4 linked regions of the Neodiprion lecontei genome follow. The protein of the gene in region 1 purifies or fractionates together with the protein of each later gene. This does not show direct contact. Links are inferred from orthologs where the notes say so. Each region holds a gene or a part of one and is shown on either strand. Other genes may lie near its edges.

Region 1 (10,552 bases):
CATGCATATTTGAAAATGACAATATTGAATGCACAATGTAATGTAATTCATAGTCTCAAAAATGTAATAAACTTGATTTTGAAAAACTATATTTAATAAAATCGTTTGATATTTATTACTACATATTATTTTTACGGCTGAACGGCCCTAAAATTTTCTGTCGGAAAGCGATTTTTCGATGCGGATTCTCACCAACTTGATGGGAACTCAAAATAACTCCCAAATACGGTAGAATCGACAGCTGCGATAATACCTCAAGAAGATTCGTTTTTCATCTGTAACTTTTCCGCAATTGATAACTGTGAGTTGAAACTGCGCGCAATCGACTAATCTCGATACATTACATCGGATTAAGGTTTAACTATATTTATTTAAACTTTCTCCCGTTGCAACCGATTTTTAGAACCCTACTACGACTGGACTGTGTACCCTCAGGAATTCAAAAAAGATAACCACATCGTAAGATCAACAACTGCGAAAATACAACGAAATTTTTCTGTTTTTCGACAGTAACTTTGGAAGCCTTAATTGCGTTTTCTCTAATGTCTACATACTATATAAAACATTGACTCCTGATTTAGAAGATAGTCCAGAATAAATTTTGCATGACCTAAAGAAATTTCTCAGTGGTAGAAATGAAGCTGGCTCTTCGGACTGATTCAAACTATGGGTACCCAAAATGTACCTTGGCTAGGATGTCGTAGAATCGTTGCTGAGAAAATACTACCAGTTTTCAGGGTTCAGCTTACTGCAGTAAATCAAGACGAAAATCCACGAGAATTTCATAATTATTACCTTTACTGATAGATAAGTTGAATCAGTTGATTTCATTTCCAATGAAAGACAACAGAGACCCTGTTTTATAATTTTTCAACTATATATGTTGCAACGACGAAAAGAAATCAGCACAGGAGTACAATATTGTATTATTTAATGCATGTAACATGAGATCAAGTTAAAACAACATATCATTATAGACATACAATATATGTTAAGTCATAGTTTTATTTTCTTACGAGTATACATAATGCAGTCTGAGGTGTAAGTGGGTCCAAGGCCTACTTCATGAAGATACTCTTTACCTTCATTCCGATAATCTCAACTCTTACATTGAAACATCTGATATCATCGAACATCTACTCCACAGAAAACATTACTTTCTAAATTTGATTAAATATATATTTTAAATTATAATCGATGGCGATAGGAATATTTCAACACGTTGCTTATGTCAGCATTACAGTTTTTCTGGTCACATCGTATTCATCAGCAATAATTATACCGAAAAAAAATAGTAGAAAACCAAAAATAAAATAGAGCTGTACAAATTTGTAAAGAATCGTCCCTATCACACAATATATAACTGTAAAGATAACAGTTTTTCAAATATTCATGGGTTATTAATTTCAGTTTTAGTATATAATTAATCCAGGGTAACTGACTTAGCGCAATACAAGGCAAGATGATATTTTTTTCTTTTTGCCTTGACATGCCTTGATTAGTATAGCATTGAGTAAATATGTGCTAAACTTTCACTCATCATAAGGAGGAAAATTGTAGCATGGAATCTTTTGTAAAACACTGAGATAAATCACTGTGATTCAGACTAGTAAAGTTTGCATGCATCGGTTGGATTTTTTAATATCAATGATCCATGCTACAGTCATACGATTATGCTAATGATATAAATATATTCGATGGTTACTGCCACGTCATTGTATTTCATACCATAATAGAACGTTTCAACACACGTTTACATGATTTAATAAGGCAAAGAACAATAATGGAAGAGTTATTGAATATTCGTTCAACATTTCGACTGTTGGTCACTGTATCTCCAAGCCTGCAGCTTATCAGAAATTGAAAGTCTCATCTTCAATTGCGCTTTTGATAAAACTAACAATCAGCTACAAAAATTAGTGCAGCAAATTTTCATATCAAGTAAACGTTTAGTAGACTTATTTTCATTCATCTTATAAAGTGATGTAACATAATGAAACGAAGAAGAATAATATTTCCGTTACCAATTGAATGCAAGTTGCATCACGCTATTTGGCAAACGGAAAAATAAAGTATATGTGATAAATTGCTATATTCAATTTGCTCAGATTTTCATGAAATACGGAAGAAAATAAAATTATATATTGTAATATTTGTGATTGTTCGGTCCTGTCAGATAATGAATTTCTTCTGGTTGAGAAGAATTGACAGAAACATCTATTCATCATGTTAATGTAATGATCAAAATATTCAGGTCAAAACCGAGAGATTTGCCGTGTCGAAAAATCAACTTTTCCTCACTTGTAAACGAACAGTTAATATTTTCATCAGAATGCTAATTGTCAACTGAACATATTTTTTTATCACTTAACATGCTGAGAAAAAATGGATTTTACACTAATTTCTTCAAATTTCTGCAAATAAGAGGAAATTTTGTACGTCGGAAACCTTAATTTGATAGGTATAATTGAAGACATTTTATTCTGTCACATAAACAGAAGAAAAAAACATTCAGAGAAAAAATATGAAAATTTAATAACTAGTCAGATATCTGAGCAAGCTACTTTCGTCAAATTGAACGATACAGAAACCCAAAGATCAAATGGATATGATTTTATATACAGAGGTACATTTCATCTCATGACGTACACATATCTATTATATAGCAGTAGTACTGAAATAGAATTAACCAAAGTGGGCAGTAAAACCGTGGGGCATACTGCCTGCTTGGAACTGATAGCCACCACCATGATGTCCAAAGAAGGATTGGAACATTGCATTTGGATCCATTTCTGCAATAAAAAAAATTACGTGTTAGCATAACTGTTGTGTTATAGGGATATACAGGGTCTTTCATTTTAATCGCCCCAGGCCGATTACTCTGAAACTATGCAAGATACGAAAAAATATTTCCTGCAAAACATTTATCGTTCGAAGATGAAAGTGTCAGTTTTATCGTAAGCAGAATTGCCAAGGTCAGATGAAAGTCAATTTAGTTTTTTTTTTTTTTAATGGAATAGTATAATTTTTTTGTCAGTGTCAGAAAAGTCAAATACTCACCGTATATTCCACCCTCCATATCTTCCAAGTCATGACCGTTGTCATATCGCGCACGTTTCTTGGGATCTGAAAGAATGCCGTACGCCTCGCCAACTTCTTTGAACTTTTTCTCCTGTTCTTTTTTCTCGCCTTCAGAAGCATTCGCGTGTTTATCTATAAAATTTGAAACTCATTATGAAAAAATCATCTGTCAAATGATGTGGTTCAATCGCCAAAAATTAAAATGACGGTATATATTACCTGGGTGATGTACCATGGCTCTCTTTCTATATGCTTTCTTGATATCGTCGGTTGACGCATTTTTGTCAATGCCAAGAATTTTGTAGTAGTCTTTTCTCTTGGATTTTTTCAATGCAAGCTTGGCTTCCTGCAGCAATCTTTTGTTATCTAAAATTAAGATTCGACAAGTTAAAAATCTAATTCAAGGAAAATTATGCTGTGTTTCTAGCAAAAATTGATTTTTCTTGTAGGCTATCTAATTTCACGGTACCTCTGCTCTTGTCCATTTTACATGCTTGTTCGTAATCACGAACAGCCTCTTCAAAATCTCCAAGTTCCATGTAGCAGGCGGCTCGTTTAAGTAAAGCTTTAAGGTAACTTTCATCGAGCTTCAGTGCTTCGGTACACTCTTCTAAAGATTCTCTGAATTTTCTTAGCTGGAAACATATTTATCGTAAAATCATATGGGAATAAACCACGTCATTGATGGCAAAAGTGGCAGTAAGCTGATGAATTACAATGCAATGCAAAAAGGAAGTACAGCTTTTACAAAAAATTATACATTCCGCCTAAGCAAATATTCAAATTTATATGTTTGGATAAAAACTGTGTGTTTACCTTGGCATATATCAATGCTTTATTGAAGTGTAATTTAGCATTGGCTAATATGTTCTGAGGATCTATGGTTAAGGCTTGGGTATACAGATCGAATGCCTCGGCATATTTTTCCATTTTAAACGCAGTGTTACCGTCTTCTTTTTTCTGTTTTAAAGATTTCGCTCTCTGAAATATGACAAGAATTGAAGAAGTATTATAATCATTAATATTGTTTTCAAGATGTTGTAACGATAAGAGAGAAAAGTTTCAAGGCATAAGAGATTTAAGAATATTTCATGACTTCATTTGTGTAAGTACAAACCTACGATATGGTTGAAACTGTAGTTGGATTTTGATGTTACCTTGTAAATCTCCATCGCCTTAGTATGATCAGGTGCTAATCGAAGAACTTGTTGAAAATGCATAAATGCTCGATCTATGTTGTCTTGGTAGTAAAGACACATGCCGCGTACATAAATTGCATCTACGTTCTGTTTGTTAATGTGTAAAACATCGCTAAAACAGACAAAACATGATTAACCCACCGTGTGAACACTTGATTTTTTACACCTTTTGTCCATACACTTTTTCAAACTGTTCTACGCTTTCAAGAAATCGGTAAAACTTCAGGGTTTCTTCTCAAAGCGTTAACTATATTATTCAAAAGTTGGCAGACTCAAAAGTTTTCAAGTATTGTTCACAAAAATTAATATTCAGAAAACGACTGCTCCCTAAAAGACTCTGTGTTCACACGCAGGGTTAAAACGGTGAAGGATACCAAAACTAAAACAATCAATAAATATAACAAACTTGGATATTTCCTGTGCCTCTTGAAATCTGCCTAGAAATGCCAAGCATTCTGCTTTGCGGAGCTTGAATGTCACACAAGAGGTGCTCACATCACAACAGCGGTCCATGCAATATACAACCTGTAATAAATGTGAATAAATTTTGAACATTTTCATATAGAGCATTGATTTTGTTGTCAGATCTCGTCAAACTTCTATAATAAATGAATCTTACTTTACGAAAATCTTTTTTTCCATAAGCCACTTCTGCTTCTTGTAAATATTTCTCAAGGTGTTCCAAGTTTTTTTTCTCCGAGAGAATAGCACTGTTACTGGGATCCAGCTCCAACACCTTTTCCATGGCTGCTCTAGCTCCGATGTTATCGCCGACAATCAGAGAGCATTTCATAACTCGTGGATAAGCCTTTAAGAATACTATACATGTCACAAATATTTCAGAATTTTTTAGGGTGATCAAAAGTTATGAACAAAGAGAAAAGACTGTTGAAAAAATCTGCAGCAATATTAATTGTCAATGATAGTGAACTCAAATGAAACAACATCCATACCATGTGATAAAAATGATTCTGTACAAATTCGAATAATACCAACTGAGATATTTACAATTTGAGAAAAGGATGATGTTTCATTCTTGTTCACCATCGTGGCATAAAAAGTATTGCTGGAGATTTTTCAGACGAATTTTTCTTTCTACCTAACTTTTGATTCATACCTTGGGTCTCATTAATCTTTAATAAATGAGTCTCTTTGTTGCGGATTTCATAGTGTTTAGACTTATATACCTTTACAAATCCTGGATCAATGGCGATGCATTTCTTAGCATCTGCCAAGGCGTCGTGATATTTACCCAGCATCATATAACACGCAGCGCGGTTTCCATAGTACGCTGGTGAATTGGGACATAGCTCTGTAAAATTATTGTTCAGTTGAATAATTGATCACAAAATGAATTCTTCACGTTCAGAACAAACGCTTTTCCATTGTTATTATTCATAGACACCTACCGATTACTTCAGTATAAACTGCTAAGGCCTCTGCGTATTTCTTGGTTTTGTAAAGTTGATTGCCAGTTTCTTTCTTCATTTCTGCCAATCTGAAAATAGAAGAAATATATAGGTACCTAGAATGTTTATTATCCATCTTCCGTGCCTTTATCTGAACACTAAAATAATAGCAAAATATTTTTCAAATTTTTCATGTATGTATGTCAGAAAATGAAAGACAGCATATTAAAAATAAAAATTCAGCAAAAATTTTAACCAACATTTGAAAGATGATTTGATGGATTACTCTAAACTTTATTAACGACAAATTATAAGTAAATATCACATATATATGAGAAGTGAACCTTTTGCACAGATAACAAGCAGATCTTGGGAAACAACAGATGTTACATAGACACTAATTGTCTTAAAGAAAACTATCAAGAGCTTACAAAATAAAATTGAGTCGTAATATCACTAGTCAGTGCCCAGAGAATTGAATTACGTCGAGCGATTACTGGAAAAGTATGAGACCCAACAAAAAAAATACAACAGACTTCCATTATATGACCAATACTATAAATTTAATTAACTTGGAGACTATGGCCAATAAAAGTGGGCATCACAATAAGGCTGACGTTAGTAATATCATTGCAACAAAATATAAAGCAGTGAAAAAATCATTATAGCACAATTTGAGAATGACTTTCAAGGAATTTATACAAATATATTTTATTTATCATGGTTTGTTAAGAGAAATTGGATAATCCTAAAGATATGAAGAATCGTTGCCTAAATATGCATCATTACATTAATATTACCAACTTCATCCTCCATCCATGAACCATATGATTAGTGTTCTTGATTGTGATACCGATTGAGGTTTTAGATAAGAATTAATGTACTTGATATGAATGAACTATGTGCAAAGAAAATATTGCATCATTGTGGCCTGGAGGTCATATAAACGCTGCTTTCTGTAGCTAAGCATGCTTGTCGATGAAACAATGTGTGATCAAAAATGTCGACGAGGGTTTAAAAATCTGAAAAGAAGTTGTTAACCACTAAGTTAGGAATCGAAGGGAATTTGCATGGCTGTCAAAAACACAAGTTGCAGCGAGTTGTGATTTTTCGGAGCTCTAGAAGCGTATCTGGGATATAACAACTCACTCTTCAGTGGTAAAGGGTTGTATTTCTTCAATAGGATCAGGATCATCGATGGGGTCCCATTCTTCATCGTTCAGTTGTTCAGCCATATTTTATTTATTTGCAAGCAACTTGAGTACTAAAAGTTATTCGATCACCACAAGTTAGATGATTTATAAATTATAAACGACTTTTAGATCTAATGCGAAGAAAACCGTAACTCTGCAGGGCAAGACTGACAGAACAGAATGTATGGAATGTCCCGTGGTTCCCGAACATCAAGATGGTCTTTGAGCTAAGATTTATGCCCGTTTTTACTTCCAGCATCTACAGACATGACTTTGAACTATGTATGAATTTGTCGTTCCTAAATTCTAATCGTTATTTTTAGCATGTCGACGTACGTCTGGTTAATATTTTTGAAGTCTATGGTATGAGTTTTGCATGTATTGCCGACGCATCTGGTAATATTCCTGCGGCTTTCGAACTCCAGTAACATTCGTATTAAGATTTTTATCCGAGGCGTTCCAAGAAAGTAATTTATGAATATGTAATTAAACAACTAAAACACCTAACATAGTTCTCGAAATTCCATTCCCTAGCATAGCCATTTGAAAGAAGAAGAAGAAGAGATCTGGTAATATTGATGAATAATGGAGTATGAACAAATTTATTTGTGCAATTGCACGTTCGATTTACTATTCAAATTCAAATTCGCAGATTTCTATGTAGATATGCAATTGAATATTCTATTTATAATTATTTTAACTACTTTGTCATAATTTATAGATTGACATATATACAACTGTTTTTATAATCGTAAATGAAAATTTTCCGAGCTCTGAAAATCGCAAAATAGCAAGGATTTTTTCAGTCTATATCCGGCCGATTTTGAAAAATAGGCAACTTAATTCTTGGATACGCTAAATCGACGTGATTATGCGAGAGAAATCGATTGCGCGCACTACAAATACGTTGTGAGCAACGTCTCAAGAGTTACAACCGAAAAATGAAAAGTTTCCTTCGTAATTTCTCTGCTGTTGGTCCAGCGGACGTTATGTTTTTTCTGCATTCATGAGGGACCAATTAGTCTGTCAAGGATCATAGAAATCGATACTAAGACTAAAAATATTTCGCTTTATAAAAGTAAGGCCCCCATTGTATTTTTGGTGAAAATATTGAAGATTTTGGATGATGCTGGAATCAATTATTTGATACATTATATCAACGTAATTTTGAGAAAGGAATCAATTGGGCGCAATCCGAATTAAAGAGTGACAATCGAAAAATGTAAGATTTTCTTGATTGTTAGGCACGGGCTATGTGGTAAAAAATATCAATCGTTTCAAACGATCGTACTATCGATCGTTTCAATTCCTTAGTATCGAACAATCCATGTTCTTCTGTAAATATCGAAAAATAGATTGTTAATATCGATGGCGAAAACAGGCGCGAAAGTTAAAACATTTCTAACTATAATTGTAAAAAGAAAAATGATCGCGAAAATTTTTAATTATCATTATTGTTAATTAAGAATGTGTACAAAATATGAGAATTTAATATAAAGTAAATTATGGAAAGTTAAATATTTAAATACTCTAATTAACAGCGAGAAATTTCGTAGAAAATACAGATTTATTATCGACCTTACAATTAGTAATGTGTATTTACTTATTATAGATAAGTTGCTGACAGATGTTTGCACAGAAATTTAAATTACTTTCGGCTTGACGATATCGATAGTTCAATATTTTCCATAGACTTTAAAAAACATCGGTAGTCGAAACATCATGAATGTATGTCGCCCATTCCTATCGTATGTTGTCCGACATATCGCAAGGTGTTGTATACAAGTATTTATTTGTACATACGCATACGAATAGACGTGAGTGTTTGTAGTCCAAGCTTAATAATCCAACTTACGTTGGATCTTGTCGCGAAAGCAGGCGCATCCTTATGAGCTATGCAATTGGCGTATCGCCAAAACAACGAATTCAGTAAGTAAGTATAGGCGATTGCCGTTTATTAGACGAAGAAGGAATTCTCGCTCTCAAATGTTTACGATAATATTAATTTACAATTGCGTTTAATAGACGAAATATTTGGAAAGTTATAACAGAACTTTACTGCTAGTGTTGATAATACAAAAGATATAAAACGAGAATAAAAAAATAAAAATAGTGCAAGTCAATAGTTGCCAATTCACAATACATTGGCTAATACGATTGCTTTTCGTCCAAATATATTGGAGATAAGCTGACTACTGACGTCGTACTTAAAATTAATGATAATTGTGAAAAATTTAACTTTGTAAGTCAGGTGGAACAGTCGAGGGTGATTGCAGGTGTAAATGCAAGAGACGTCGAATGGGTCCGCCAAGAATATTTCCAACAGCTCCTGCACCTCCTGCTTCACCTTCTGCGCTTTCTTTTAAATTTAGCTCCATAGTCGAATCTTCAACGCAAGTGTCTGTATTAGATTTTTCTCGTAATCCGCTAAGGTGCAAATCCATTTCTAGTTGAGAGTCGAGCAGTCTCATGTACTTGTCCAATTCACCACCTTTATCCTCCTCGCTTCCACCCAACGAACCTTCCGAGTTGCTGTCGAAATCATTTTCATCTCCTGGCACAACAAGATCCAAGATTCCACGTAAAGCGGAATCAAATGCATCTGCATTGAAGTCTATCCTCGTATCATCGGCATCACCATTTGCTCTGATTTCGCTGTTATCGTCATTTGACTTGGACAGTTGGCTGAATCATAAATCATCACTATTGGCTATGCAACTCAGACCAGATCGAAGTCAAATTAAAGATGAATTGGTTAGACCGTCAGAATCAAAAGTTGGGATAGAGAATAAAACTGTTTTGCAAAATTTCCAGAGATGTTGCTCAAATCAATGATAGTAATCACGAATGAAACAACATCCCCACTGTATAATACAAAAGATTCCGAGCAAATTCAAATAGTTAAAGCTAAGATGTCAAGAATTTAAAAAGTTTTACACTTAGAAACGTTCCAAGAGCTTAAACTCTGATGTTTTTGATCAGATTCTAATGTTTTTCGGCTTAGTTCACTAACTAAATTATCACAAATTGTATGAGAAACATGCAAGAAATTTGTAATCAACCTATAGCTATAATGCACAAATGTAATTGCTGATGAAGGTCTGTTATACTTTAATGACAGTAGTCAGTAATATATTTTTATCCACTCTGCAGATAATGGTAAGTAGAAATTTTTAGGTGATCTATGGAAGTCTCTATGGTGAACAAAATGAGCCCATTAGCATTAGAATCGGATAAAGAACAAGAAAGTTCAATCATTTCAATCTTTCTAGTTATGAAAGCTTTTACTCCAATTATTGATAACTTATTATATAATAGATAATAGAATTGCTGTTCCACTCGTGTTCTTTATTTATTATTCATGCAAATAATATATTCATGGAGATTTCTTGAACGATTCTTTCTCTTTTCATAATTCTTTAATTTGACGGTCTGGCTAATTTACTCTCAAAACAGTCTTTTCATTCCAAAATTATGAACAACGTACCCCGGGAACTGAACTCCATCTACGTCGCTTGAATGTTGCAAAAATTCCCGAACTTTCTCTTGGATTGATGGCGGGTGCTGATCTACCATTCGATCATTTGATGACCACTGCTGGTCCAGCATTGAGTGCAGTTGTTCTGGATCTATGTTGAGCCAGTTATCATTGTCTGGAGGGCTCAATCGC
Region 2 (7,231 bases), on another chromosome or scaffold:
TTATATACATATTTACTTGAAAGTATTAAAATCAAAACACCGGAAATATAAATAAAGACATGAATATACATCAACTTTACAACATGAAATAAGTTTAATGCAAAAACTTTTGTTTACATATCGTCGAAATTAGAATAAGTATAACAGCCTGGCTCACCTGATTTAAAAGATGAGAAAACCTGCTGTGCGATACTATCGCACGTTCACGCTACAACCTATCATTAGCGCAATGGTCTCAGTCGCAGCATATCGTACATAGAGGTAGAGCAAATAGAACAGAAGTCGTATTCCCACACATTTCACATTCACGTCTCGCAGTGCCAGGCATACTGCCATCGTCTTGGGTCAAGCTTCGTCTACTCTTCTTAAAACCTACTACCGCAACATCGAATTCATCCAAAATATTAAAATCTTCCGATAATTCATCTTCGTCCTTGTCTGAAATAAAGTAAGCTTTATATTCTTGGAGTAAGGCCTGATGTGGTCAAATATTAGAAAATTTATTACGAATCTTACTGTAACTGCTTTGCAGTATATTAGCGAAAATGCTAGTCGTGAGATGGCGGAGACCAGGAAAACCCTCTAGTAGCATAGTTCGGAGCGAGGGTTTCAGGGCAGCTAAGCACTCAAGTTGTAATGTCACTGGGATTGAGCTGCTGTGCGTTATGCGTATTTTGCTTTGTGCAGCTGTGGAACTGATCATTGGATATAATTCTAAGCCTCTAAGTCCAGTGAAAGCGATTCCTGGCACAGGAAAACATGCTCTGTAGATTCGGAACTAAAAGATTACTCATTCAAAGCATTATATTATTTACCAAGTGGTTTTCTATTCAAATAAAACTCCAATGTTCCTCTCCATGTATCCAGATGAACTCCGACAAGACTACCTTGTGCAAAGGGCAGGCTGTACTTCTGCTTCTGTCCCCGATGCTGAATATCTCCTTTGTACGAAAAACCCCAAGACTCCGAGTCCAGACCAAGTAATGAAGTAAAAGTGAGACCAGAACTTTCTAAGTTTACTTTGCTTGTGCCGACGCCTATCATCTATGGAAGCAAAGGAAGCAATAAGTCTTGTTAAGTCTGTACCATAAACGGAGCGATTCTTTGAGAACAGATTTAACGCTCACAATGTCAGTTCCGTAAACTTGGGTAATCATTTTGACCTCCCAATAATGATGTCTTCCACTGGCCATTAATTTGTTACCTCGAACAGCCGAGGTTCCCATGCTGTAGCCGGGGTTGAAATTCACCTCTAGGTTCATTTTTGAAAGGCGCAAAGTCTTGCTGGCATATTTCTCGTCCCACTGCCATTCTATCTCTAGGAAGAAAAAATAAGCAAGATAGTTGCTTAACCCTTTCGGTACGGACACATTCTACGTCGCGCCGTCCCTACTGACTGAGCAGTCGCGGCAAGCGTACAGTCATCGCTCGTACAGAGCGAGCGTCAGGCGTTGGGTGACTATAGTCACCGCTCAGACAGAGCGAGCGTCGGGCGTTTGGTCACTATAGACACCGCTCGGGCCGAAAGGGTTAAATTACATTTTACGCCGACGAAAAAACTCACTGTAAATTTTTGAATTTAATATTTGAAATAAATGTAGTCAGATCGTTCTGAAAATATGAATCACAAGCGAATAAATACCATTTTGCTCGCCACATAGACAGTCCTCTTTGCAATCACAGTATCGTTCCCCCGGCGTCACAAGTAAAGCATCCAAATCGTCACGCATTTTGCAGTCAATAAAGTACATTCAGAAACTATGAGGGTGAAAACCCGATGAAGAAGATGTATGCAAACTTATTCGCAATCAGCTGTGCAGCGTTGGCCGGTCCGCCTAACCTAATCTAAAAATATCCTAACCTTAATTGCGTTACAGTATCGCCAGATAAAACTATCCGAATACGAGCTTAATACCTACTCTTTTCGATGCGAAGACGCTGGGGTATCACTTGTTTATCCTCCTTGTAGTTTGGGCAGCGAGAAACTAGCGTGTGACTTAAACCAACAGGCCATTACGGTTTTTGCGTGGTAAAACTTGACTTGTGGCATTCGGCAAGGTCGTTGATTCCACGCATCTGTCAGTGACGAATATACGCGTAGGGGATTTTTACGAGCGATACGAACCGGTACGAAAGTGAAATAAATAAATACGGTGTTTACGCGACTTCTTGTTTGTTATTTCTCGACAGTTTTTAACCACGATAGATAAAATGGAATTTAATGATAATCAATGACTCATCGACCATGTCCATTTTATAGTTTCCGTAAAGATAGGTCAGTTTTTTTTACATCGGTCAGATCAGGTGGGGTTCGTAGCTGTCATTCACGCACGCCTACGTCAGATTTTTCGTAGATACTTTTTATCCTTTTTATAATCGAATTTCATTAATTGGGCCTCTGCTATCACGAGTGGCTTAAGACATGACGATTAATTTTTTCGGTGACCAAACTTGCCACACGAAATTAAATCGTTTATTACTGATATGAGTTAACCATCGGCTACGGGCTGACTAAGCGCCTATGTACAATTTCGAAAGACTGAAGTATTGTATGTATAACATATGTACATAGGTTAGAATTACATGTAAATAATTTATTACACAACGATTATAATTGGCAGCGTAACACCCAAATGCTACTGTTATATTAAAATTTTCAAAATGACGGGGCTACTCGCGTTTATTCTCATCTGTCTCTTTCTCTACTGCAATTTTACATGGTAAGATTCTTCTATATTTTTAAAAAATTTTGACTTTGTTTTTTTCACTTGTCGTACAACGTGCACTTTCAAATTCACTGTCTCATGCTTAGGGTGATACCGAGACTACTGGCATGGCTCGTAAAACGTCGTTACAAAATTCACCTTAGAGTCGGCCACATTTCCCTGCCCTACTTCATACTGCGAGATGTTACTGTTACCAAAAATGGGTTTACTGTGGTACGTGCATGTAATGACTGATGGAGGAATTTTCAAAATACCCATATGTCCTCTATTTAGGACTTTTCTACTGTCTTGTTAATACATCTTTCAGCAAATCGAAGAAATTACTGTACGAAGCAGCTTATTCAGCAGCGATGTTGCTAAGCTGCTGGCCGTTGTAATGCGCGACGTCCGTATCAACAAAGATGTCCCGGTTCAACCTTCTTATCCAAAGAAAGATTATAACAAACCACTCGATTTTAGAAACAAGAAAATACCGCCGATCATTATCACGTTTGTACAGGTATTCTAGGGCATAGCTGGCAATAATACAATAATCTGATTTGTAATTTACTCAATTCAATTCGTAATGTACGAAAACAATTCTCTTCATTCAGTTCATGGCTGTTCACGTCGAAAACCTGAGTCTTCTAGCCCTAGGGAATGGTTGGTTGGCCAATGGGAGTGCGGAGAGTCTAAGTTTGGATGGTAGTGTTGTTCACGGGACACGGACTCTTCTTGCATCTGCTGCTGTTGCTGGTGGGGCGATGAAATTATTGCGACACGCATCTGATGCTTGTCTGGCACAGATCAGCTTCGCAGGGAACATTGAGGCAACGTTAAAGGCACAGGGGGAACTGTCTGTGGAGGTTCGTTTCATGACATGTCAGCCAGTGAAGCTGAAATGTGTAAAATATCTACATTGAATACATTCTTCTCCACAGAAACTATACATAGGCGTGACTCAAACCGAGGGGTCTGGGGGGGCAGGTCTTCTACAATTTTTCAAAGATAGAAAAACTTTGACGCCCACTGAGCAGTCTAGCAAAGCACTTGATCGTTTCACTGGACCACTGCTAGCTCGATTGGCTCCAATGATACCTAAAGTATGTAAAGAATATGTCAAAAATTTATTGCTACTTAGTATTAATTGCCATGCGACACATTTACCTGAAACTTCAACTTTTAGAATTTGACTGTGAAAATGGGGAGTTCTTCAGTGATTGCTGGGAGAGAAGATGGAGGGCGAGTTGGCCTCGAGGGAATGATGAAAGGACTGCATGTGAATGCCAGATTCCAACCAGCAGGTCCGCAATTGTACTTAGCTGTGAAATTGGATGGACTATCGATTCGTGGAAAGCAGCCAGTCTTAACTCTGCAAACACTGTCAATAGATTCTAGGGTAAATAGCAACACGCTTTAAAAGTATTCCAGAGAACTAATAATTATTTATGAAAATAGTTGGAAGAAGATGTTTTACGGATAGCGACCCAGCTACATAATCTCTCCGTGACTTTTGACTATGCCGATTGGGACACAGTGTTACTCAGCAGTAGCTATGATATGTCAAAGCCAGACGTCGACTTGACGTCAAACAAGAATTTCTCTTGGCCTGGAATACGAGCTATAACCGATCTGTATGGTGGAAATTTATTCATTAAATTACCTGACAGTCAAGAAGCATCGTGTGGTTTATCTCACGTGAAACTTTCGTTGGATAGAATAGCAGGTAATATTTGAATGGTAAAATGTTGAAAAACGCACTACTTTGATGCTTCATCGCCATTTAGACAAGACCATGGGGTGGAACACAGAGTTGTCCGTCGAATCTCTAAGGTGGACTCTAGACAGTGAAGACGAAGGTGCTCCAGGAACTTCTCATCGATGGGGAAGCCCGTTATATGTTGGAGTATTTCTAGCAACAACGCGTCCAAATGCTGTCGGAGTATTTCTTGACGAACTGAGGGCAGAATGGAGCCCCAAGCTTGCAAGATTCTTAGAGCAAAGCTTCAAGTAAGTGATTGCAGTCTACAAAATTCATGTTCAGAGTATTTTTGGTATATTTTTAACGAAATGTATTTTCAGGTATTACAACCAGCGAAGGACATTAATGCACAGGCAGTCAAACATCCCAAAACAAGATGAGATTCAGTTCAACCTGAAAATGAGAAATTGCAATTTGTTTTTCATAGCTGAGAATGAATGTGAGCAGCTAAATATTCTTGAATAAGTAATAACTGTTGGCTATCGTTGACTATATAATTATTTCAGTATCTGTGATGGTGCGCATGGATTCCTCGAGTCTGGAACACAATTCCGATCATTTTATAGCTGTTGCCGAAGGTGTATGTGCTATAACGCTAGACAAAGATAAACCAATCTTATGTGAACGTGCGCAAGCTCTTTCAAGTCCTTTCTTAGCCCTCAGGAAGTGCAAAGGAGCCATTACAAACGGTAGTATTAATCTCAGCTTGGATGGATCCAGCTTGGCTTGGAGTCCCAACCTGCATCTTAGACTACTGCAGCTTTGGCACGAAGCTGCAGATTTTAGAATGATAGCATTCACAAAACAGGGCGAAACTTTAACTACAGGTGAGAAAGGTGGATAATGTTGAAATTGCAGATCAAGAAATCCTGTATTTTGTATAACTAGTTTTCGTAACTGGAAATATGACAATTAAACCATCCCTAAATTATTTGCTACAGACTCCGTAAAAACAAAGCGATCTATGGATTTATTAGCTACTGGTGGTATTACCTTGTCAATTGTGATATCGCCAAGGCATTTCCTTGAGTTATCTTTGGATGAGCTTCGTTGGACTGCGGGTGAATGGAGGTTTAATTACTTGAGAGCTGCGCTGGATAGGGCAGATATATTGACAGTCGAAGGCGTGGAGCTTATCCGAATTTCTGAAAGTGAGGAAGTCAGATTAGAAAGAGCGAATAACGAGGGCTTTGACTTGGACTGGAACACGACATGGGGCCTTTACATAGAATCGTGTAAAGCTTGTTTTCCTTACGAACATCAGTACACAAATGCCATACAAAATGAACTGATGAGCATCCGAAAATGGCTTGACCAAATTCATGCACGAGAATCTATGGCGGAAAAGCAATTGCCGAATGACCTAGTGATCAAAGTTAGCATCTTCCATTATTAGAATTTATATATTGCTAATGTAAACGGTATTAAGACAAGCAATTTATTTTCAGATCAAGGAATGGTTATTTGAAGTAAGAGATGATCCTTTCGAAGTTCGCCTACGAGACAATTACGAACTTCTTGAAGACGAGTACAAAGAAAGTTTGAAGCGACAAGCAATGTTAGACTCCAAAGTACAAGAGTTGTGTAGAGCGCATTTGCTCCTTCCTCAAGGTAAAGTAGACGAGCTCTACGCCAGTTTAAACAAAAAGAATGCGGAAATATACGTTCAAAGATGGAAACAAATGCAGCGAGCTGGTCCTGTAAGAACGCGGCTCTGTGCCTGGACTATGCAAGATTTGGAAATAATAATATTAGCTGATCCGACGATTCACGGAACAGAAAAAGCGGTCAAGGCATTAAGAGAAATGGACCCTGAATCTCCTTGGCCCGAGGACGGTCTTGAATTTAGCACATTGTGGGTGAGAGGGGTCTCTGTCAAATGCACAGAATGGAAGCTACAGTTACGTGATTTCCCGCAACCACTGTTGTTAGTCGAGGGTCTAAGCATTTGGGGTAGATTAGCTGGAGCCGAGGCCTTGGCACCACCTCGAGCAAGGAGAACAGTTAGAATTGAAGTCGGAGCTCCCTGGGACGATATAGTAGTAGAGCGAGGCATGACGTCTCTGAAATACTACCATGACTTAAACTGGGACATTGATAAATTCAGATACGCCTTTGGACCTTGCTGGGAGCCTGTAATTGCTCAGTGTAATCTGAGCTTCGAAAAGATCATTCATCCCTCGAGAGATCCGAGTCCGCCACTTCCGTTCTGGGACAAGATGAGGCTTTCTTTTCACGGCAGATTAACGCTGTGCGTTAAACAATTGACTATATTGCTGCATGCCTCCCTAGATCCGTATAATACGACCGAAGAGATGGAATTGACTTGGACAGGATTGGAGTTGGATTGGACTCTGGGAAGAATAATAATCAAGGGTGACTTGGACGTCTGCGTTAGAACTGCAAGCAAATACGACGACTGTCGGCTTTTGCACTTGCCTAATGTCAGGATGAGCGTCAAATTGGCATGGGTTTGCTTGGGGGATCCTCGTGATCACCACGCTGCTATACCCTGCGCTCCAGACAGGCTACCAGAGTATTCTAGCAATCAGGAACATGATTCGTTCAGAGCTTTCAGGTCCCAGAATTTGAATGTCAGTCTTGCTTTAGAAACGAAACCAACCGGTTCCCCAACTTCAACCAGTGCTCCTATTGCGTTGCTGTATGGAAGCACCTTACGATGGTTTGAAAGTTTGAAATTCATACTATCAGGAGCTACCAGACCAACGCGAAAAGGACCACTCTTCAAAAACATACGACCAAG
Region 3 (7,008 bases), on another chromosome or scaffold:
TATACTTGGACGATGCACGATACGAAAAAAAAAAATTTCAGAATGCAATAACAAATAACGATATTAGTGTTAAGCGCACACGTAAAGTATGAAGGGAACTGCAATCTCGAGTACACGTATTTTTCTGTTGTCCGACGGGTGGCCTTCACCTTTTACAAGGCCTTGCGGAAGAGCCAATGACCGAGTATAAGTGTACCTATATATATAGGTAAGTATGTTATATACCTGTAATACCTCGCAGGCATCACCAGACACCTGTGAGTTACGCGTAACAACTTGAGTATACATGATAAAAAAAATTGAAAAAATAAAAAATACTATACGTATGTTTGTACGCAAGTATGTACAGCGTTGCGTGCTTGTGTAACTTACAATTAGTCGAAACTCGTCGTACACATTGGAGCCCGCACAATACGTATTCCACGATGAATTTATCATTTTATTACAGCGATTACAGTGGTGAATATGCAAATTCATGTCTGAAAACCAAGATACGTGGTTATAAATTATTGGGGCTAAAGACATTTTTACTATCAAAAACGCGTTAGCTGTATTGTGTAATAAAATTACGGCCTTTTAGATATGTTGTAAAATTGATAAGACTAATGAAAGAATTGACAAAATTGATGATTGGGTAACTTTGTGACGAAGATGCGGTATTTGCCTGAACAAAGAATACAAATTACTCAGCGTAGAAAATTACCATTGCAATGAATTTTACGTTTCGGCATAAATTTTTATTTAGACACGATTGAAACACATTGCGCTTATACGTATACATGTATATGTGTATTATATAATAATACCGGGAAAATTATATAGGAATGGCAGCTTGACACATTTATTGGAGACAATTTGATGTTTAAGGTCCGATTTATACCTATATATGTGTGTCGTTACGACCAATGAATATTTTTGTGGAAAAGGCATATTGATAAACGTACATTCTTTTCTGTCTTTTCGATGTTTGTATTCCACATGAATGTCCATTATCACAGCAATGACAATAGACATGATTTTTACACAATATACATATACTATATACATATAATGTATACGGATTATAAATAGCAGGTCAACTATGTCTGTGAAACATATCCGTATAAAAAAGAAAAAATGTTCGTACTCTATCACATAGAGTGCAGCCCAGTGCTACGCTTTTATTATAAGATTACAGGATAAAAATTACATATGTTATTAGGAATTTGATAAAAAAATAAGGCTTTTATGCTAGAACACAATGTAACAAGACTTGATGACTCTCGATAGTCTTCCCAATTGTATAACAGCTTTTAATAATAACAAGAGACATTACATTGTCTTGAAATAATCGTCATTTTCTATGACGTCTTATCAGTCGAAATAAATTTGATTTAGTCGCAATCAATTTATAGATTATGACGAAGTAATTTTTTTCACGAATTTTTTTTAACCTTTTATCACACATGTATACCTAAGCTAACAATTGATGATACAACTTTTATAGTATAACAGTTGCGACCAATTGTAAAAATATAAGGAACAGGTTCTATATTTCTCGCACCAGGTTTGAATTTGATTTTAATTTAATCGATTAGAAAAACAGTATTATTCTATTCAAGAATTATTCTATTTATATTTGAATAAAAAAATAATTCCGTTTTCTCTGGAAGTCGCAATTTAAAAAAAAATCTTTTAATACGTGCGTTGCAGACGATTGTGCCTATTATTCAACAGATCAAAAGTATTACAAACTCTTTAATATGTTTTAATTTGTCGTGGTGTAATATCAAGTATTTGAATTAAATTAGGAATTATCATTGGGTAGTTTTTCTTTTTCACATTACATGTAATAAATAAGTACAGAAAACGGACTGACAGCAAACAGACCAAACTTTCGATTTAGATTAAATTTGATTTCTTCCTCTAATGTAGCTGAATGGTAATTCATATTTTCATGCTCTATACGTTAGCTATGTGTTATCAGAGTTGCTTTTTATCTACAATCGTAAATATGAAATTCGAACTTTTCTCTTCATTGTCGTTTAGCTTGTTCTCTAGGAAATTGAGGAACACCTGCAATCTGGTTGATCAATTATGAGGAAATGATATCTGCAATGTTTCATTGAAAATGTTGCTTCTTTGCTATGGAACTCTAATAATATACTATGTTAAAGACCATGATGGTATATAATATGATTGCTCGAAAGTCAAAGTAAAGAGAAATCTTCTCAATAAGCTCTTAAACGTATATTCGTTAAAATTATATTGTATGCATCTTACTAATGTAATCTAGCAGCCCCTGCAGTCTTTTTTTGATACGCTTTTGATCATCTAAAGTACAACCTAAAATGGCAGACTCGAAAACTTGTTCTGAATATTCCGGACCATGGGAAGTACAAGCACTCATGAACCTCCTACATCGCTCTCGTGTAGCCTGGGGATCTTCTTGCAATTGGATGACCAAGCTGTCGATCAAATCATTTACCTGTAACAAAACATACGACGTCAGATCGGATCAGATATACTACGGACTAAAAAATTGTGACGAATAGTTTTCACTGGTTAATTATCAATTATAAATAATTCGATGTAGAATATCCGAATAAATCATTTTAAATTTCACTAAATATGTTAGCTATATCGAATATTCATCACCAGCAATTCATGCTACAGCAAATGCCTTAACAACGGTTTTGAAATCGTACGTCTCTCAAGATATGAAAAATCCTATTCTAGTATTATAAACTATTACCACATATTAAATTTTCTACCACCCTAGTAATATAATCAATTATTGACATATAAGCAGGCAGTGTTGGTCTTGATGCAAGCCATCAAAAAGTGACGATTACGTTAGCTGGCCACCCAGTGGTCAACCACTATCAAGCCAGTGGTCTGTTACATCTATTTTATTATGGAAATTAATTACCTACTCACTAATTAAAAAAGTAATTGTGTTACAAAAATATAAATATAAACAAATAAAATAACTGCGTAATTACGTGGAAAAACATAGATAAAATAGGATGTTTAATGGTTACGTATAATGATTTTCATTCAGCAAAACATCAATCATAAAAAAGTCTTTCCTACCTTGTGCAGAGATTCTTCTTGATCTGTATTTCGCTGAGTTTCAATGAGGATTTCAACTGTCGAGGTCCGCACCCACAACCTCTCCACCGATCTCATGATTTCTTCTCTCTCCTCTACTCGGTTATAGAATAAAAAAATAATTGATTAAAAGTGATTGTGGATAATGGTGTTAGATATGAAATAGAAAGAATCATAGCAATATTTCACAATTCACGGTGAAAACACAATTTTGTTTACAGGTTTGTCTTTTTCTATTACAGCAGTAGGAAATTTTGGAAAAATTCTTTACTACGTGTTGTTATCTCATTATTTCGTAGCAACGTGAACTCGGGGATTCCTGTTGTTTCCGTTAACCTCTAGAATTTTCTGTTCATAGTTGTTGTCAACGGATTTAAATGGATCGAACTTACCGAACTCGATCCAAACTTACCGGTCACTAATTCAAATACACTTTCGTTGTTTTGAAGCGCGTCCAACGTGCTTAATAAGTTCTCTTTCTTTTCCTCAAGCTCCCACGCTTCTCTTCTCAACTCCTCAACACGAGCCTCGACCTGATCGAGGATACTGACTAACCTATCTCTCTGTTTGTTGTCCATGATTTCTGCAAACTGGCTATTATCTCCCACTCGTAATTACTTCGAGACGACACTTTTACCGTAATTCCAATTAACGTCTATTAAAACTTCCGAAAAAATAGTGTTTCACAATTTTACGACCCGGTGGAACAACACGTTACGAGTGATAATTCATTTCCTTTGGATCTGACAGCCTTCGTGGATCTGACAATCAATCGGTACTCAGCACCTATATGTATGTATAATTTTTCGATGGGAAACATCGCGAAAGTTCGGTACCAACTGCTGAGTGCGACACTGGTATGTGGCGCATTGGCGTATCGAGTAGAAAATGTCTTTCATTGGTCCGATCTAACGGAAGGCGGTACGTCGGCTGCTGTGCATGCTTATGCAGAAAATAAGAGGTGTTATTATTTATGTACGGTCAAAAATGCAGCCGACTGCAGCTGTGATTGTAAAAATTTTATGGATAATAAATGGAGAAACGGACGTGAATACACATGATATCAGTCAACGCATGATAGTTGCTGTTAGTATGTATATTACACATTGTATACAAATTATGCGAATATCCCGCCAAAATTGTTAAAATGACAGGCGCAGAGCTGGCGCATAAAATGGCACGCAATTGATACGAACAAAGTATATATACTTTGCTTCATATAAGTAGAATTATAAGTCTATGCTTTGCATGTAAACCTATTCGAAAATATTGAGAATTTAAGAATCGTGCCGGCTCAGCTGTGTACGAGATTTGCATTTACGTCAAACGACAACCAGCCGCATTCGCAAACTCCGCCGGTAATCTATTACGTAGTGCTATAACAAATCTGCACACTGAACGGCTGTATTGAGAATCGATAAATCAAATGTAGTCGGCATATTATAAATATATATGGTGTATATTTTCATTACATTGGTCCAGTTGTGTTATGTGATGTTGTATGGTGATTTCAGGCTGTTGTCAAGTTGCCGTTTACTATTGTCATTCTCCGGTATGTAGCCCTGCCGGTGGTAAGATCCAGCTACATCTAAGGCTAGCCCAAAAAAGACGAAGCGGCGGTAAAAGACCTTCGATGGTAATAAGCGGGTTGACACAAGTTTCCCCTTCCACTTTTTTATTTGAAAACCAATTGAAAACTACGTTGAAAACTTATGATATTTTATTACCACAGCGACAAAAATAAATGTTGAAAAGGAAATTGCTAGTAAGAGTGGTAGGACTGATTTTAATAACAGCAAACAATGAAAATTTATTTACTTTTATCTCTCAAGAGTGCGCTGCGAAAAAAATTGTATTACCAACAAACGTGGGGGAAAACTCAGAAGTTTTACTAATCTTTAGTTATTTCATCACCCAGCTCGATTCAGGTGGTAATGTGTCGCAATAGGTGTCGAATAAGATTCCTATACTAAAGCATTGAGTGGCATTGAGTATCAACCCGCTGACGGCGATTGACGCTTTGGTTTTTATATTGAAAGCAGGTGTACAGATTCCTGTAAACAAAAATGGCCAGAATAGCAGTGATAAAAGAATCGTTGGATAAAGCATTGCGAGATGAAAGCAAACCGTGGACAAATGTTTTCGCAATTGCTGAACAAAAGATCGGGATAGACCGGCTTTACATTTTTCTAGGTAAGTTAGGTTACCTATCACGCATTCTGTCATGAATTTTGCACTTTGAACACTTATTTTGCCCGTCATTCCTTTATGTAACAATCTTTCCATTTTCAGTTTTATTATCCTTCGGCCCCAATTTACTAACTCGGGTTTCGTTCTTACTTCGTGCAAACATCAATTGTTGATCAACCTTATTTAAGTTTTTATACACGCAGTAAACGTGGTCTTGATTTTTCTCCAGACAGCATTTCGATTCCAGATAAGTTAACGTTAACACAATCTTAACCGATTTGCAAAATGACCGCAAGTTGATTAAAGCACAAATTCCACGTATGTACATGACACACTCCTTGCCTTCATTTACTTCAAAATTATTTAATAGAAGCTGGCCATTCATCACGACTACTAAGCCAGATAAACTGTTATCATGAATTCACTAGCTTACCTCATTTGTCAAGATAAGTACTGTCAACAAAATTACAAGATTGGCTACATTTCCAACTTGTAATTTATCAGACTACATCCGCAATGGCAGGTGTGGCTCGTAAAGAAAGTGTTGAAAGTATGGATAGTGAACGGAATTTGTTTCATAATAATCTATCCGAAAAAGATTTCTTCACAGTAATTAAATATGGTAATTGCCTAACTACTTATTAACGAAATTACTTACCTTTAAAATCTCTAACCCGTTAATCCACATCGTTTCCTCGCTGTATTTATCACGAATAATAGTATGCAAATGTTAGAATTTGTTACTTCTAGTAGTAGAATTATTTTACCATTGGTTTTTTCAGCATCTGTGGGATTTCTCGCAGTTTATTTGGTAGTGGGGATAGGCCAGCAGTTGGTCTGCAATATTATCGGATTCTTGTACCCGGCTTATTGCTCCATGAAAGCTCTGGAAAGTCCCCAAAAAGATGACGATACAAAATGGCTAACTTACTGGGTTGTATTTGCAGTTTTCACCATCATCGAATTTTTTGCTGATTATATCGTATTTTGGCTTCCAATTTACTGGCTAATCAAGGTAAGCAGATCAAAATTTATTACACAGTTGTGCCTTCATGAAAAGAACATAAGCTTTGCTCAATACCAGTTTATAGATCCAGTTCTTTTCATTCTATTATTCAAGGATCAACTTTTTAGTTTTTGAGATTAATAAACATTGAAATTTCTTTGATAATTCATAATCGAGGTAACATATCAATCTTTATTCTTTTTTTCTTTGGTTTTTTCAAAAATACAAGAGTGCATATTTCGTGTGTTAGTACAACGAATGAATGATCTGTAAATTTTAACATCGTAGTCCAAAACCTACAAACTTTTAAAAACGAAAAAAAAATGTATTCACAAGCAATTACAAATAAGCATTTTATAAAACATCACTGGTTCATATGATATTCACACCGTATTCAGTTATTCCATCTGTTCCACCATATATCTTAACTCCTTATTGTGGTAGTGGCTAAACTGAAAATTATGATTTTCCAGTCCAAACCGTTTTACCCAAGTTGTACGCAGCATGTAATAAATACAAACACTGAAGCTGATAACTAGAGCCAGTAGTCGAATGATTTATTATTATAGAGTCAAACTCATGCGTCAAGGTTGTTTGAATGCTTCGTTTAGCTCCTACTTACAGCGTCAAAAAAAAATCATCATAAAGTGACAAGCCCTTGACTACTTATATTACCTTGACTGGAGCAAGAAATGCCTGGTTATCACTCAATATCAATA
Region 4 (7,191 bases), on another chromosome or scaffold:
ACCAATGATCACAAAGCTTAAGAAGTGACATTTATAAACAACAAAAAGATGCCAGATGCTCATTGCTAAAGTAAAATGTATAAAAAATAACGAGATCAAAATAGTCAGTATACCAGTCGCTAAATTACAACTTGAGAAGAGTAATTTGCAACATTGCCAAAGCAATCCAGGCAAAGAATGTCAACACAAACATCGTCAATATGTAGTAGTCGGAGAGCTGGTGAATCAGAGCTACAAAAAAAATTGAGAAAATTTGAAAATATGTATGCAGCTGAATCTCGGTGTATATGTTAACAATCCTTAGTCAGTTAGCGAGATTATAGGATACCTGACCATGTTATCTAGTGAATATGCAAAAATGATCGGTCCAGTGCAAAATCCGAGGAGAGGCTGAAAATTGGTATACTGGTGTATTGAAACATCACGCATGCACATACACTAGCTAGTTCGTTTGATGCCAGGATAGGGCTTAGTCAGTCAGCATTTTGATGATGCGCGAAAGCAGACAACGTGCCAGGTATTCGTGTTGTAAGATTTCCTTGTAATATTTATTTTTAGTACAGTGTTATCTACAAGACATTAAATGAACAAAATCTTACTCACAAAATTATAACGAATGAGACGAAGTAACCTAAACGTTGGTGGTTATAAAGAGCAGTCAATGTAAGTTCTACTACTTCAAACAGTCTGGTTCTACTGCAGTTAATCTAAACTCTATTCACACAAAATGCATATTATTTCTATAACAATTATAAGATATCTCGTTTTTTGGTTATCGTTCAATAAAATCGGTACCGTTGTTTAAAGAGAAAGAATTAAAGAGAGAGAGAGAGGTGTAAATGTATCGCAGCCGCCTTGAATGGTTTTTAAATTGATAAATGGATTTTCAATATTCTTAAAATTCTTTATATATTTATTGACCGTTATTACTAATACCGCTTGTTACACCAAACTACTTATGCTGCTTCTGTAAGTATTAAATTACTTTGGATAAACGCCCGGGGGAATGTGAGCATGTTCCATGCCTTGCACTGTAACCTGTATGCATGCTACCTAGGGTGTAGCCTATTTTCGGGCATCATCAAAATGCTGACTGAATAGGTCGGGTCCCGGAATTAGAGTGACTAACAAGTGGATGTGTATCCCTAATGCTTCAATACACCAGTATACAAATTTTCAGCTTTTCCTAAGATTTTGCACGCTACTCATCATTTTTACATATTCAGTAGGTGTCCCAGAACATCGCTGACTGACCGAGGATTCTTTAAACTACATGAATTTATTCAGATTTTCTCAATTTTTTGTAGCCTTGAGCCACCAGCTAGCAGACATATAAATCTGCAAAAACAGCGAGATCTGGGAAGGAAGGAAGATTACTGAAACATGGTGCTTGAGCATGGATACACATCAGCGGTTATTACACCAATACACGAGACTGAAACAAGCAGTACATGTATAGATCACATATACAGGGTGAGTCAGTTAAAACGGCCAGAATGGGAGGAGCTCAGTTGACGGATCAGGCCGTACCTCTTAGCCAATTTGGAGCGAATCAATTGAAACACCGAGAATGGGAGGAGCTTTGTTGACGGATTAGGCCGTAGCCCGCGTGTTGATATCAAAGTAAAGTTTGCAGTCTGCGTACAGATATTCAGTGGTAATACGAAATAAAGTAACGATATGACAACAAGTGACGGATCATAATAAGAGTTTATTCCCTCACTTGGTGTCATATCGTGACTTTATTTCGTATTACCACTGAATACCTGTACGCAGACTGCAAACTTTACTTTGATATCAACACGCGGGCTATGGCCTAATCCGTCAACAAAGCTCCTCCCATTCTCGGTATTTCAATTGACTCGCTCCAGATTCGCTAAGGGGTATGGCCTGATCCGTCAACTGAGCTCCTCCCATTCTGGCCGTTTTAACTGACTCACCCTGTATGTTAAAAGAGACAATACCAAAGAAATAACAGCAGCAGTATTACCAACGAAGATTGAGTCCCATAGAAGCGTACGGCCTGCAGGCTATTTGAAGCAAGAAAAGTTGGGGTGCTCGGACGAGCTATCCCCCCAACAGCTAGGTGTCGCTAGTGGCGCCTTTGCTTGTGTGGCTCACGTACAGCGCTCTATACTAATGCGAACAGTGTCGGTGTGTTGGCTCCGACTGGCGAGTTGGGGTGATCGTGCTAACTCTCTACTGTCGACCGACGGTAGAGCCATCTTACGGATTTACGAGTCGTGGAAAGTTTTGCTTCAAGCGGCCCATAAGCCGTACGCTTCTATGTGACTCGATCTTCGTTGGTATTGCAGACGATGACCACGGATCACTACACGACCATAATCAAGATTGCAAATGATATGATGAAGTAACTTTATTATGGACTCATACAACCTATGATATAATATCGAACAACAGTCTGGGAAATTGTGTAAAAAATAAGCCATTGACCATCTGTAAGTGGTCCAAGATCTACAGAAAATAGCAAACATCCCAAACATCAGGTAGACATATCTAGCAAACATAATGATAAGGCTCAAAAAAAATCGACTGAAAACTGAGGAAAGAAAAGTACAGTAGGAATATATAACTCGGGCTAGCGTACAAGGAAATCTTGTACATCAAAGGGTTGACACAACCAGAACACATTGCCGTAAAAAAAGGATTGCAGTAATTTTTTTTTTCAGTTTTTATAAGGAGGATGAAGGTACTGAACGGAATATTTATTATGAGATTAAGTTTTTTAAAATAGTTTCAGTAAACAGGCTTCCGAATAGCTAATTGACTCTGCAAGTTAATTTACTGTGCAAGATTCGGGATGTACAATTACCTACATGTATAATAGGTCGATTTCTGTGTAACAGTCATGAATCTTTAGAGATAAAAATTACGCATGGCTCAAGAGTTCATTTACACGCTAGTCAATTGTGCTTAGTCTTCAATTCAACAATCATAATTTAAATATTCTTAGGGTACATAATTTTGAAAACGAATATGAGCTGTTACCTCTCTGAAGATGCTTGACAGCTTCGTCAAATAGTTCCAGTTCAAGAAGTGCTTGGCCTAGGAAAAAATGACCCTTGACTAGACAGGGATCTATATCAAGAGCTCTTCGACAGTCTTGACAGGACGAGTCCCATCGTTTGAGTTTGAGGTGGCACAAGGCACGATTTGTGAAATATGTAGCTTGAGTTGGATTTTTGATCTATAACAAAATATAGTGAATAATTGTCTTTGAGCACTGATGTGAACCTTCATTCAGGTGGAGACTCCAGTCGAAAACTGAACCAATGGTCACGATAAAATGTTAGCATTTGTGGTGACTATTGTACACCTCTATGTTTTGGAAGAATCCTCTGCACATCACGCAGCACAAAGCGCACAATTAACTGTGGCATAAGAACTTCGTCATCCACTTGATCCTAAATCAGGTTATTCCACTAATACAAAACTGCACATGTATTCAAAAGTCACAAGGTTCAAGTTTGCAACATTAAAATAAAACCCTGAACAAAAAATCACTCTTATGATCAGAATGATTTTATGGTAGCTAAATTTGCAAAATATGAACACGTTCCGCTTCATTATGATATATCTAATGTTAGACAATTCTAGAGCAACGGAATAATAATTTTTTCTCCAATTGTATTATTATATCAATGCTATGAACACCAGTTCATCAAAAGTTAGTCATATATAGTTATCATCAGCTGGTGTGTGTGGGATCCTTCTAAATATGAAGGCGTACGAAAATACGTACACGTGATATAATAATCCAATATCTCTTGCTTTTAGTCATCGAACAATACCTACGATTGCTTTTGTATAACAACTGGCTGCATCCTCATATTTGTGCAAATTGAACAAGCGGTTCCCCTGTTCTTTCAACTCCTTATCAGAAAGGTTAGTTGTTGAATACATCTTACTCATGTCGCTCGATATGTCAGAAATAGGGCAGATGCTCAATTTTTAATACACTATAGTGCTATGCGCGGTTCTTTTAAGGGAAATAAAACTGGATTTGAATTAAATCTGTCATTGTTGTATAACCTCAAGTACGTTCGCTTCCATTTTGGTTATCCATACAAACCACGGTAACAAACCATAAGTCACGGCCATCAGCATTATCAGCTCCACCCAGCCGCCGTTGCTTAAGGGTGCTATTTCATGAGCAGTAAAAAGCAGCAGTGGTTTAGTAACTTACAAGTTTTCACTAGCATCAGTCTGGTAAGTTTACGCAGCAGCAGCGCTGCTCATGAAGTAGATCGTGGCTTCTTGTGATCTTATGGTGCCGCTGACCTGGATCTGAAAGTTGTAATCGAACGAAGCGCCCTCTGCGTAAGTTTCCTCGGTTCCAAACCATTCGAAGGTGGTACTCTCCACCGGGGAGTAGCGCAACACAATATTAGACAAAACACGGTCGGTAAGAGGCCTGAATCTGAGTCGGTAACCATACCAACAGGATTGACCCGAATTTTGCATGCAAATGATGACGTCATGTGTGTAGCGATTGCATCACGACCGAACTGATTATTTTGATAGTTTTACGCTGAATATAGCAAATTCAATTTATTGTTCCGTGAAACACCCTTGAATATGGGACATTCTTTGACGAATCGGAGAGATTTAGATAAAAATCGACCGACACAATTTTGATGTAGCTTAAAATTTTTTCACGGGTTCTATATCGAAAAAATAGGGATACGTATTCGAGGATTTTTTTATTTTACATATTTCGTAACATAGAGGGGATCGAAAATTTGATAATTTGGTGTTTTTTGGCTTGGAAGACTCACTTTCAAAAATTCATAACGCCGGTTCAGTTTGAGCTGAAAAGTTCGTTTTTTGAACCCAAAGCTTATAAAATGAATTTTAATGCAACAATTGTTTCATTTACGATTATTCCGAAATTTATATTGTTATAAATAATTAATATGTTTAAATCGATTTTTAGCAATTGCCTTCACCTCGTAGCGAGTTCTCAGCACGACCATCGTATTCTCCATCAATTCAAAATACGTTATGGATAAAAAATTTGACGTAGAATACGATGGTTGTGCTAAGAACTCGCTACGAGGTTGAGCCAATTTTTAAAAATCGATCGGAACATATTAATTGTTTATAACAGTATAAACATCGGAATAATCGTTAATGAAAGAATTGTTGTAATAAAATTCATTTAATTAGCTTTGAGATGAAAAAAACGAACTTTCCAGCTCAAATAGAACCGGCGTTATGAATTTTTGAAAGTGAGTCTTCCAAGCCAAAAAACACCAAATTATCAAATTTTCGATCCCCTCTATTTTACGAAATATGTGAAATAAAAAATCCTCGAATACGTATCCCTATTTTTTCGGTATAGAACTCGTCAAAAAAAATTTCAGCTGAATCAAAAATGTGTCGGTCACAAAGGTGTTTGGTTGTAAAAGAATGTCCCATATACATTAAAACATATCGCGCAATATTAATTTTACACAGCACGAAGTATTTTCAAAATGATTTCATAAATATCACCATTCACCATTTGTAAATATTTGGAAATATGTTCGAAAAATACGATTGAAACAAAACGGGTACGAATCGTTGTGGTCTCGTTTTATGAAGTTACGCCATCGGTCGCCCCCCCCCCCCCCCCCCCCCCGCCCAACTCCGCTTCTCCTTGTCGCAAACTTGAATGGTCATGTTTATTTTCCGTCAGTGCATTACATTGTATTCGATTATTCGCTCAGTCTACGGATAGTGACTGTGCGCGAGAAAAAAAAATCTTTGTGTCGGCAGACGACTGTGCTCGAACATTTTGCATTTCCAAAATAAAGAGTATTTTTCATTCTTCTTCAGAGGTTTTCTATGAGGTATATACATGATTATCTCTGGTGAGTATTTATACATATATATATATATATATATATATGTACATTATACAGTTGTATAAAACGTGCACCCCGACTTACGTTTTTTTCGACTTACGCCGTGAATGCCGGAACGACCCATAGCGTAACTTCGGGGTATTACTGTTTCGGAATCATTCTGAAATTGTACATCACTTGTTACACACAACTCTACTGACAACAATGAAATAATTTTATGTTCGAAGCTATTTTACTAGTGAAAAGGGTTTCAAAAAATGATTATACATAATATTGGAACACTTTATTCATGTTACTATGGATATATGAAACAATTGTTGACATCGACGTTGAGGATTATTTTTATACCCTCTGAAATATTAAATGCAAGGAAATAGTATCTGAGATTCGAGGTAACTATGAAGCTGCGGGTTGTGCGAAACAGTTCCTTCTCCCGGTTGATGGGAGTTTCTAACATCCTTTGCGAAGTAATGTAATTTGAACATAGTTCACCACTCCATGAAGATATCCTCGCGGCATGTGACATTGCGTCCGTCCAACGGTTACGACGGCTTATCCTGTAAAATATAAGCGTGTTCATTTGGTTGTTTCGCTTTTTCAATGCAGAATCCATAACATGATTAGTACTTGTCGATAAAAATATACTTTGGCAGAGAATTCGTACCCTCCCCTCCTTATCTTATAAGGACACATACAAATACATGGGTCCTCTTCTGTTCTCTTACAACCATGTGTCGGCGCCATCTCACTATACCCAAAAATGTTAAAAGTGAATGGTCGAATCTGATGAAATGGAATAGTGTGATTAAAAATTTTGATCATCTTGAATAATCCGAAAAGTTGAGATAATTCTTTCGAAATTAAGATATTCATTTTTTACGAATCACTCTAAATTTCACCGTGTTCAATATTTTACTACCGATAGCAGATATCTAATGTACGGTCATTCGGAATGAATATGAATGGGAAATTCCTCGTCAAACCCGACGGATTATTTGTAATCGGAAAGATTTTTTACAGAATGTATAAAATGGTAGAAGCCTCGCCAAAAAATGGTATCATTAAACAATTCGTTCGTTAATAACAATTACAATGTTCAATGTTTCCGGATAAACCAAAGTTTTCTACGAAAGCTTATCCTCTCTGCTCGCGAATGTGCTGTGAATAATTTTTCTACGTTAAGTAGAACCGGAGATGAGATATTGATTCTTCAAGTTTGCTGCGCGCTCATTTTGCAACAAAATTGAATGACTCGGCGCTTCCGGAAAAAAAATCGTAGAAATAGGTTTTGACTTTTTATGCTCACATATTGTCAGAATAA

Evidence for each region.
Region 2: the proteins of dnaJ homolog subfamily C member 7 (region 1) and protein KIAA0100 purify together in Homo sapiens (co-immunoprecipitation; 3 studies listed by BioGRID and IntAct, counting the BioPlex papers as one, with this or other methods). This does not show direct contact. The link is inferred for Neodiprion lecontei from reciprocal best matches to the Homo sapiens genes DNAJC7 and BLTP2.
Region 3: the proteins of dnaJ homolog subfamily C member 7 (region 1) and BAG family molecular chaperone regulator 2 purify together in Homo sapiens (affinity purification with mass spectrometry; 7 studies listed by BioGRID and IntAct, with this or other methods). This does not show direct contact. The link is inferred for Neodiprion lecontei from reciprocal best matches to the Homo sapiens genes DNAJC7 and BAG2.
Region 4: the proteins of dnaJ homolog subfamily C member 7 (region 1) and E3 ubiquitin-protein ligase CHIP purify together in Homo sapiens (affinity purification with mass spectrometry; 3 studies listed by BioGRID and IntAct, with this or other methods). This does not show direct contact. The link is inferred for Neodiprion lecontei from reciprocal best matches to the Homo sapiens genes DNAJC7 and STUB1.

What each region holds. Positions count from the first base shown.
Region 1 is NC_060261.1:11,734,347-11,744,898, reverse strand, and holds dnaJ homolog subfamily C member 7, read right to left. Parts: upstream 7,088-10,552; 5' UTR 6,925-7,087; coding exon 6,839-6,924; intron 5,848-6,838; coding exon 5,690-5,847; intron 5,593-5,689; coding exon 5,468-5,592; intron 5,089-5,467; coding exon 4,900-5,088; intron 4,806-4,899; coding exon 4,687-4,805; intron 4,393-4,686; coding exon 4,239-4,392; intron 4,063-4,238; coding exon 3,898-4,062; intron 3,717-3,897; coding exon 3,551-3,716; intron 3,448-3,550; coding exon 3,301-3,447; intron 3,214-3,300; coding exon 3,061-3,213; intron 2,793-3,060; coding exon 2,686-2,792; 3' UTR 988-2,685; downstream 1-987. Other genes in the region: protein ecdysoneless, read right to left, coding at 9,117-9,567, 10,370-10,552. UniProt on the Homo sapiens protein: Acts as a co-chaperone regulating the molecular chaperones HSP70 and HSP90 in folding of steroid receptors, such as the glucocorticoid receptor and the progesterone receptor.
Region 2 is NC_060264.1:2,172,324-2,179,554, forward strand, and holds the start of protein KIAA0100, read left to right. Parts: upstream 1-2,446; 5' UTR 2,447-2,549; intron 2,550-2,621; 5' UTR 2,622-2,661; coding exon 2,662-2,720; intron 2,721-2,812; coding exon 2,813-2,939; intron 2,940-3,033; coding exon 3,034-3,225; intron 3,226-3,319; coding exon 3,320-3,571; intron 3,572-3,646; coding exon 3,647-3,808; intron 3,809-3,891; coding exon 3,892-4,104; intron 4,105-4,163; coding exon 4,164-4,431; intron 4,432-4,492; coding exon 4,493-4,715; intron 4,716-4,787; coding exon 4,788-4,906; intron 4,907-4,973; coding exon 4,974-5,294; intron 5,295-5,408; coding exon 5,409-5,842; intron 5,843-5,915; coding exon 5,916-7,231. Other genes in the region: SPRY domain-containing SOCS box protein 3, read right to left, coding at 236-438, 517-744, 816-1,044, 1,128-1,318, 1,643-1,751. UniProt on the Homo sapiens protein: Tube-forming lipid transport protein which binds to phosphatidylinositols and affects phosphatidylinositol-4,5-bisphosphate (PtdIns-4,5-P2) distribution.
Region 3 is NC_060264.1:8,008,728-8,015,735, forward strand, and holds BAG family molecular chaperone regulator 2, read right to left. Parts: upstream 3,909-7,008; 5' UTR 3,672-3,908; coding exon 3,506-3,671; intron 3,189-3,505; coding exon 3,076-3,188; intron 2,468-3,075; coding exon 2,243-2,467; 3' UTR 1,670-2,242; downstream 1-1,669. Other genes in the region: receptor expression-enhancing protein 5, read left to right, coding at 5,160-5,286, 6,066-6,298. UniProt on the Homo sapiens protein: Co-chaperone for HSP70 and HSC70 chaperone proteins. Acts as a nucleotide-exchange factor (NEF) promoting the release of ADP from the HSP70 and HSC70 proteins thereby triggering client/substrate protein release.
Region 4 is NC_060262.1:16,938,401-16,945,591, forward strand, and holds the start of E3 ubiquitin-protein ligase CHIP, read right to left. Parts: upstream 4,088-7,191; 5' UTR 4,075-4,087; coding exon of another isoform or gene 4,054-4,074; 5' UTR 3,934-4,053; coding exon 3,817-3,933; exon of another isoform or gene 3,803-3,816; coding exon of another isoform or gene 3,764-3,802; intron 3,209-3,763; coding exon 3,010-3,208; intron 1-3,009. UniProt on the Homo sapiens protein: E3 ubiquitin-protein ligase which targets misfolded chaperone substrates towards proteasomal degradation.